2 linked regions of the Callithrix jacchus genome follow. The protein of the gene in region 1 purifies or fractionates together with the protein of each later gene. This does not show direct contact. Links are inferred from orthologs where the notes say so. Each region holds a gene or a part of one and is shown on either strand. Other genes may lie near its edges.

The links.
Region 2: the proteins of NUFIP1 (region 1) and ZNHIT6 purify together in Homo sapiens (affinity purification with western blotting; 3 studies listed by BioGRID and IntAct, with this or other methods). This does not show direct contact. The link is inferred for Callithrix jacchus from reciprocal best matches to the Homo sapiens genes NUFIP1 and ZNHIT6.

What each region holds. Positions count from the first base shown.
Region 1 is NC_133506.1:164,197,922-164,202,351, reverse strand, and holds the start of NUFIP1 (FMR1-interacting protein NUFIP1), read left to right. Parts: upstream 1-1,592; 5' UTR 1,593-1,628; coding exon 1,629-2,043; intron 2,044-4,430. Other genes in the region: GPALPP1 (GPALPP motifs-containing protein 1), read right to left, coding at 1,322-1,409. UniProt on the Homo sapiens protein: Binds RNA.
Region 2 is NC_133508.1:122,939,608-122,943,423, reverse strand, and holds part of ZNHIT6 (box C/D snoRNA protein 1), read left to right. Parts: intron 1-2,724; coding exon 2,725-2,828; intron 2,829-3,816. UniProt on the Homo sapiens protein: Required for box C/D snoRNAs accumulation involved in snoRNA processing, snoRNA transport to the nucleolus and ribosome biogenesis.

The sequences.
Region 1 (4,430 bases):
ATTTTTATTTTAATTCGAGACCAACTCTTGTTCTGTCATCCAGGCTGGAGTGCAGTGCTGGGATCTTGGCTCACTGCAACCTCTGCCTCCTGGGTTCAAGTGATTCTCCTGCCTCAGCTTCCTGAGTACCTGGGACTACAGGAGCCTGCCACCACAATTGACTAATTTTTTTGTATTTTTAGTAGAAAGGTGGTTTCACCATGTTGGCCAGGCTGGTCTCGAACTCCGGACCTCTAGTGATCTGCCTGCCTTGGCCTCCCAAAGTGCTGGGATTACAGGCTTGTGCCACCACACCCAGCTGGAAAGCATGATTTTTTAAAAGGTTATAACAGAAATTAGATTAGGAGGCCTGTAGTAGAAAAATGGCCTCTGGGTAGACAAGGAAGACAAATTAGGTTCAGAAATGGCAGGGTTACTCTTTCAGGTTTATGAACAAACATTAAAGCACATAGGTATGCATGGCGGAATGTGAGAAGCATCTGTTTGGTATACACGAAGTGCCTGTTGTGTTTTCTGGTACAAGACCATAGCGCATTGGTGGAGAGAGATGTGTCGACAAATTATTCAGATACAAATGTACTAAATACGCAATGTAATTAGGAAAAAACCCGAGGGCAAAAAGAAAGGCGTGACAATGCTTCGGGGAATTTGGAATGGTTTTATTGTGTGACATGTTAGTTGGCCCTTGAAGGATAGGTAGAAGTTTGTTAGTTATGTTTAGAAATGCAACCAGAGGAAGCCCATAAGCCTGGAGCGTTAAGAAACTGCGCAGAAACACAGGCTGGTGGTTTGAGTATTGGGCTGTGTGTGTCAGATGCAATAATAGAATGAGAGGCTAGGAAGGCAGGTCGGGGCTGGAGAGAACAGGATCTGCAAGCTTCTTGTACATCAGAAGGCAAATATGGCACAGAGGTTAGGAGAACCGCTTCCTTCTAAGTCGCGCTCCAGCACTTGCTAGCAGTATGCTGCAGACCCTGGCAATGGGCGTACCCATCTGCAACTTGGGAAAATAGTCTTTTCCTCCTACGGATTAAATGACTGAATGGGTATCAGTCAGTTAGGGCAGCTTGCAGCTCACATTAAGCGCTAAATGAGAATGTACTGTCATTACGAAGATTACCACGCCAAAACTCGGTTTCTAGGAGGGTACCCCAGCCTCTTCCCTACTGCTACCGTTTGGGAAGAAAAGTCCTCTCGGGTCGGGCCGTGCCCACTCCCCACTCCTCCGTCCTCCTAGGCTTCCGACCTTTCTTCAGCGTGCAGGGCCCGGCCAGGGAGGGGGTAGATAGGCCTGGTGGGCTGCGGAGACGCGGCCGCTTACCGGGGCTCGGATCCCGCTCTTCGTCCTCCGCTGTTCCGCGGGCCTTGAAGCCGGGCGGCAGGGCCGGTCCGATCAGGTCCCTTGCCATCCGCAGTGGCGGACACTGGTCACAGATACGAGTCTATCCAGGTACGTCAAACCTATCCCAAAGTAATCCCGCGATCCGCAGAGAAGAATGGAAGGTTTCCCGGCGCCGACTGATGACGTAAAGTCTGTGGTTGGCTGGGCCGCGTGGTTTACGGCAACGGAAGTGACGTCTAATGCTTGCTCCGCAGTCGCGTGCTAGACTCAGGACCCGGCAGAAGGTATGGCTGAGCCGGCTGGTGATTTCGTAAGTCCTGCCGGGTGGCGTGAGTCTCCCGAGCTGACTCCCACGTTAGGGCCTCAGAGCGACACTGCCCTGCGGCGGGACAGCTGGATGCTCTGGACAATGCTGCCGCCGCCACCGCCACCGCTTACGTCTTCGTCTCCCTCAGCCGGGTCAAAGGCTTCCTCTGAGTCGCAGCCCCCCGCGGAGGCCCAGTCTCTCCCCGGGGCGCCGCCCCCCTTCGACGCCCAGATTCTTCCCGGGGCGCAACCCCCCTTCGATGCCCAGTTCCCCCTTGATTCTCAGCCTCAACCCAATGGCCAGCCTTCCTGGAATTTCCACGCTTCCACATCATGGTATTGGAGACAGTCTTCTGATAGATTTTCTCGTCATCAGAAGTCCTTCAATCCTCCAGGTAGGCTATTCCTCCAGGTGGGTCGACCCCTTTACCTTTTTTCCGTTCTTTCCTCTGCACTTTCCGTTTCCTCTCTCCACTCTGCCTTGCCTCTGCACTCTTGGAGTCTGGTCATTAATGTCTCAAAATATGTCTGACTAGAATGTTTCCCTGTTGCCTGTTAATTCCATTTAGCAGTTACTTACTGAATTCAACTATGTATCAGAATCTGGGTATATAGCAGTGAGCAGAACATACAAAAAAAATTCTTGTCTTTGTGGAGCTTAATATTAATATCTCTCGTGTGGGAAGACAGACAATAAGCAAAATAAAATATTGTGCATTAGAAGGTTATGAGTGCAGTGGAGTGAGATAAAGAAGAATGATAGGTAGTATGGGTTTGTTTTTTTTGTTTGTTTGTTGTGGGGGGTAGAGTGTCCCTACGTCTCTCCGGCTGGAGTGAAGAGTAGCGCGAGCTACTTCACTCCAGCTTATGCAACCTCTGCAGAGAGGCTCACTGCAACCACTGCCTCCCGAGTTCAAGCAATTCTCATGCCTCAAACTCCCGAGCTGGGATTATGGGCCCACGCTACCAGGCCCGGCTTATTTTTTATATTTTTAGTAGAGATGGGGTTGCACGGTGTTGGCCAGGCCTTCCTGGATCTCCTGAGTTCCGGCAATCCGCCCTCCTCGCCTCCCAAAGTGTTGGGATTACAGGCGTGAGTCACCTCGCCTGGCCAGGTAGTGCAGTTTTTTTTTTTTTTTTTTCCTGAGACGGAGTTTTGCTCTTGTTACCCAGGCTGGAGTGCAATGGCGCGATCTCGGCTCACCGCAACCTCCGCCTCCTGGGTTCAAGCAATTCTCCTGCCTCAGCCTCCCCATAGGTGGGACTAGAGGCGCGCGCCACCATGCCCAGCTAAGTTTTGTATTTTTAGTAGAGACGGGGTTTCACCATGTTGACCAGGATGGTCTCGATCTCTTGACCTCGTGATCCACCCACCTCGGCCTCCCAAAGTGCTGGGATTATAGGCGTGAGCCATCGCGCCCGGCCTGGTAGTGCAGTTTTAAATGTCATTTTAGTCACAAGGAAGGTGACATATTAGCAAAGACTTCAAGGAGGCGAGGGTTCACAACCATACATACATCTGGGAGAATAGGGGTACAGGCTCAAGGAACTGCAAGTGCAAAGGCCTTAAGGCTTAGAAGCTATACATCAGAATGGGAAGCAGTCTGGCTACAGAGGACTGAGCCTGGAGTGTGGAAGATGGGGGAAGAGGATAAGACCTGGTAGGTCTTCGTAGATTGTGGGACGTTGACTTTTACTGTCGTGAGGTGGATAGTAGAGGGGAGTGACATGATCCGATTTATGCTCTAAGAGGTTTAATGTGTCTGTTGATGGGAATTGACTGAAAGGAAAACTGGTTAGGAGCTATTGTAGTTACTTGTCTGAATGAGAGATATTGGAGACTTGGACCGGGGCGAAGCTCAAGGGATGGTGAGAAGTAGTCAGATTCTGGATCCAGGGATACCTTGGAGCTCTTGGGGGTTCAGTCACAGACCACTGCAGTAAAGCAAGTCAGACACTTTGTTTTTCCCAGTGCATATAAAAATTTTCCTGCAGGTCATATGGGGCAAAAAAGTTATTTTTACATTTTATCATAGTCTGTTAAGCGTGCATATTATTATGTCCAAAAAAAACTTATGTACCTTGATTAAAAAATACTTTAGGCTGGGCAGGATGGCTCACGCCTATAATCTCAGCACTTTATTTATTTTTTGAGGCAGGGTCTCTGTTGCCTAGGCTGGAGTGCAGTGGCGCGATCTTGACTCACTGCAACCTCTGCCTCCCAGGTTCAAGTGATTCTCCTGCCTCAGCCATCCAAGTAGCTGGGATTACAGGTGCCTGCCACCACGCCTGGCAAATTTTTGTATTTTTAGTAGAGATGAGGTTTCACCATGTTGACCAGGCTGATCTTGAACTGCAGTCCTCAAGTAATTCACCCTCCCTGTGAAGGTGCTGGGATTACAAGTGTGAGCCACTGTATCCACCCTCATCTCAGCACTTTGGGAGGCTGAGGCAAGAGGATTGCTTCAGCCTAGGAATCTGAGACCTGTCTGGGCAAGAAAGTAAGACCCCCATCTCTACAAAAAATAAAATTAGCCAGACATGGTGGCATGCCTGTGGGCCCAGCTACATGGAAGGCTGAGGCAGGAGGATTCCTTGAGCCCAGAAGTCGAGACAGCTTTATCAACTAAGTTTATGTATACTATAAATCCTCTGTCCTCATTTCAACAGTGTTTACAGCATCTTCACCAGGAATAGATTCCTTCTCAAAAAAGCACTTCCTTTCCTCATCCATAAGAAGCCACTCCTCATCCATTAGAGTTTCATCATGAGGTTGCAGCAA
Region 2 (3,816 bases), on another chromosome or scaffold:
AGGAGTTCACGACCAGCCTGGAGAATATGGTGAAAAACCCGTCTCTATAAAAAAAATACAAAAATTAGCCAGGCATGATGGTGTGCCCCTGTAACAACTTGGGAAGCTGAGGTAGGAGGATCACCTGAGCCCAGGAAGGTCAAGGCTGCAGTGAGCTGTGATTGCACCACTGCACCCCGACCTGGGCAGCAGAGTGAAACTCTGTCTCAAAAGAAAAAGAAAGAAGAAAAAGAAACTGGTGAGGGTTTCTAATTCTAAGTGCAAATGGAAACTATGGAAGGATTTTGGACAAAAATTTGCCTTTTGAAAAACCACTCTTGCTGCTCTGTGGACTTTAGGGAGGCAAGAGTGGAAGATTGGAAGCAGGGAGACCATTTATGCAGCTCTTCGCGTGATCCTTGTGAGATAATAGTGGCTTGGGTATGCCCTTAGAATTATTGAGAGGGGATTAGATTCTGATTTTGAAGGAAAAGCTAAGACTTGCTATTCTAATACACTTAATTTTCATACTCTTGCATTGCCTTTTTCATTCCTTAAATACTATGCAGAAGTACAGCTTACATATTTGGAATGTTTGGCAACTGGCGTTACAAAAATTCGTTCATGGTATGATTAAATCATATCCTGCAATTGTGTTCATTTTAGTATTGGAGTTGCAGGATTTTAATACCTTTTAAATACCTTATTTTATTGGTATTGGCATTTTTTATTGGTATTATATTACATGTATCTGAAAGAAAATTATTTATACAGCAACTCTTATTTTTCCTCAAACTTAATTAGGCACAATTAAAATTCTACTTAGAGATAAATTACTTTAAAACTTTTTTTTAATTGTAAAATACAGCATGTATTTGTTTTAGAAAGTCACAGAATGGAAATACACAGTATAATGAAAAATTATAAAATGAACATTCATGTAACTACCACCCAAGTCTAGAATTAGAACATTACTGGCTTCCCAGAAGTTCCATGCCACCCTCTTATGCCCTTCCCTGATCTTTATGTGTGTGAAGATGTTTTTCTAGGGTTTATACCTGAGAATAGAATTGCTTTGTTTTATGGTATGCATATCTTCAGTTTGCCTAGATGTTACCAAAACATTTTCCAAAGTGATATACTAGTTTACACTCTCACCAGTAGTGTATAAATGTACCTGTTGTCATATTCTCACCAATACTTAATTTGGTAAGACTTTAAAAATTTTTGTCAATCTGTTGGCTATGTAATTTTATTATGGTTTTCAATGTGCAGTTCTCTAATTTCTGATGAGAGTTAGGAAGTTATTCCCTCATAATTATTGCCTAAAAGCTTTATACTATTGCATTTTATACTTATGTCTTTAACTGGAATTGATTTTTGGTATCATGTACAGAGAAGGTCCCATTTAATTTTTCATATAGATGATCCACTTTTCCCAGCACCATTTATTGGAAAGTTCATCCTTTCCCTACTGCTCTGTAGGACCACCTTTGTTATATATCAGCATCCCTATATGCTTGGGTTATTTTGTGGGCTTGTCTTTTCCATTCCATTGACCTACTGGTCTATCCTGCACCAATACTACTCTCTCAATTATTTTAGTTTTTTACTGAAACTTGTTATCTGATTAAGGCCTCCCACTTCCTTTTCTCTAGTGTTTGGCTATTCATTGATGTTTGCAAGGCAAAATAATTGCAAATCTAAGCAAAGGATGGCCCATAGCCATAGCTGCTAATGGACTTTTTTTTTTCCTCTATTTCAGTGTAACCATACAAGTTCCCTAGCTTGCTCTCAAAATAGTGATAGTTTCTGGTTCACCCTTTTCCTGAAGGTATATTGGGAGGATTGATCACTGCTATTATAATTATTTATAGTAATCAATACCATTACTGAAACCAAAGTCCTCTAAGTTAGAAAATTACATGCAATTTCTTCAGACAGTTTCCTGCTTAGCCAGTGATAGCTGACCCATTCTTTCCCTTGGCTCATGACTTGATTCTGACTCTACCATTTTACATTGCAAATTCTAGATCCATATTCATTTAACAGAAAACTTGCATTTATACTTTACCTTTTCTTTGAGTGATCTTTTTCCTTGACTTAATAAAAAATCTGGTATTAATTCCTTCGTAACTCTGGAATTCTCCAGTTTAGCTTTTAATCAACCCACGTGGTCAATGTAGTACACATGTCAAAGCAAGAATGTTCTCATATCCCATTTTGTGCTTCACACAACAGTGGCTACTTTAAGCTAGGCCTGGTACTAGGCAGTGCCATGGCTCTTCCCTTGAGTGAATTGTCTACTAATAAAATCAGGGATACATACAACTAACTGGTAAAACCATCAGTAAAAGCAATCAAGAATTGTGTAGGTAGCCCCTATGATTGCCAAATGACCTGTTTGTTTGTTTGTTTGTTTTAATCTCCATTAAATTATTCTTTGACTCATAGCACTTATGGTTAAAAACACAAGCTCTAGAATTAGACCTGGGTTGAATACAGGTTCTTTCTCTCTGGGATAGCTGTATAATGTTGGTATCTCACTAATTCTTATTGCTGAAATGGAGATGATAATACCTATTCTGATAGTATCATTGTGAAGATTACATGAGATTACTTCTTAGAGCTGTTGTAACACTTAGGTTTTCAGTAAATCTAAACTATTATTGAACAATTGTTTCACTCACTTTTTAAATTTGAAGCATTTAAAAGTTAATTTGTCTGTTTGGTTTTGGTTGGTAGATGTACTTTATGAAAAATCGTGCCCGAAGGCAAGGTATTAATTTAAAACTTCTACCCAACGGATTCACCAAGAGGAAGGAGAATTCAACATTTTTTGATAAGAAGTAAGTTTCTAACTTCTTAGTATATCAGGTGTTGTGATTTGATCAGGATCACCGTTTAAGGTTTGGTTGCTATAGAGCATTGCTACCCCAAGTGTGAGTCTGTAAACTGTTTGTTGTTGGTCCATGACAAGATAGCTGTAGTAATTGTGTGTCATGTAACTCTAATAAAAATTTGGGTCTGCAGAGTGTGTGTGTGTTTGTCTGTGTGTGTGTGTTTCTTCATATCATTTGAGAAACTTCTCAAACATTAATGTGCCTATCAGTCACCTAGGCATCTTGTTAAATATGCTCGTTGTGATTTTTCAGTAGGCCTGAGTTGAAGTTTCATATTGTGCATTTCTAACAAACTCCTCAGTGATGCTGATTGTTTGAGGAACATATTTTGAGTAGCAGCACCCTAGAACACTCTCATACATTAGAAATAAACTGTTTCTTTGACACCTAAGATGCCAAGAAAGTATTTCAGGGGCTTCCAGGACAAAACAGCAAGTAAAAGCAGGACTCCTGTATGTTTTAATCAAGGCAGCTCTGCTTTTATATTTTTTCTGCATTGGGTTTCTAAAGATTTCATTTAAAAGCTGTCAATGGAGAAGAAGGGGACTTTGAACTCTTTTCAGTATAGATAATGTAACAGATTAGTTTGCTGCTGTCTGAAAAATGTTGAGTTGAAAAGGCCCCAAAAATACTGAGGAGAATAGGATCCCAAAGTACTTTAAGTAGCCAACTAAATTATTAGATAATACCTTTCAGAAGTCAAGATTTTTTATTTAGAATTTTTAAAAACCTGAGGGAGTTCCTCCTTTTTCAGCCTCTTAGTAACTGTGGGGCCTTGAACAAATCATCTTACTTTCCCTGGGCCTCAGCTGTATGATGTGGGGAGTTGGGCCAAGTAAACTCTAAGATGCCTTTCCAGTTTTACTCTCCCATAAATTGAAAAGACAGAGCCATCAGAATTATCATTATTCTAGTAAAACTTCTACTTTTTCTG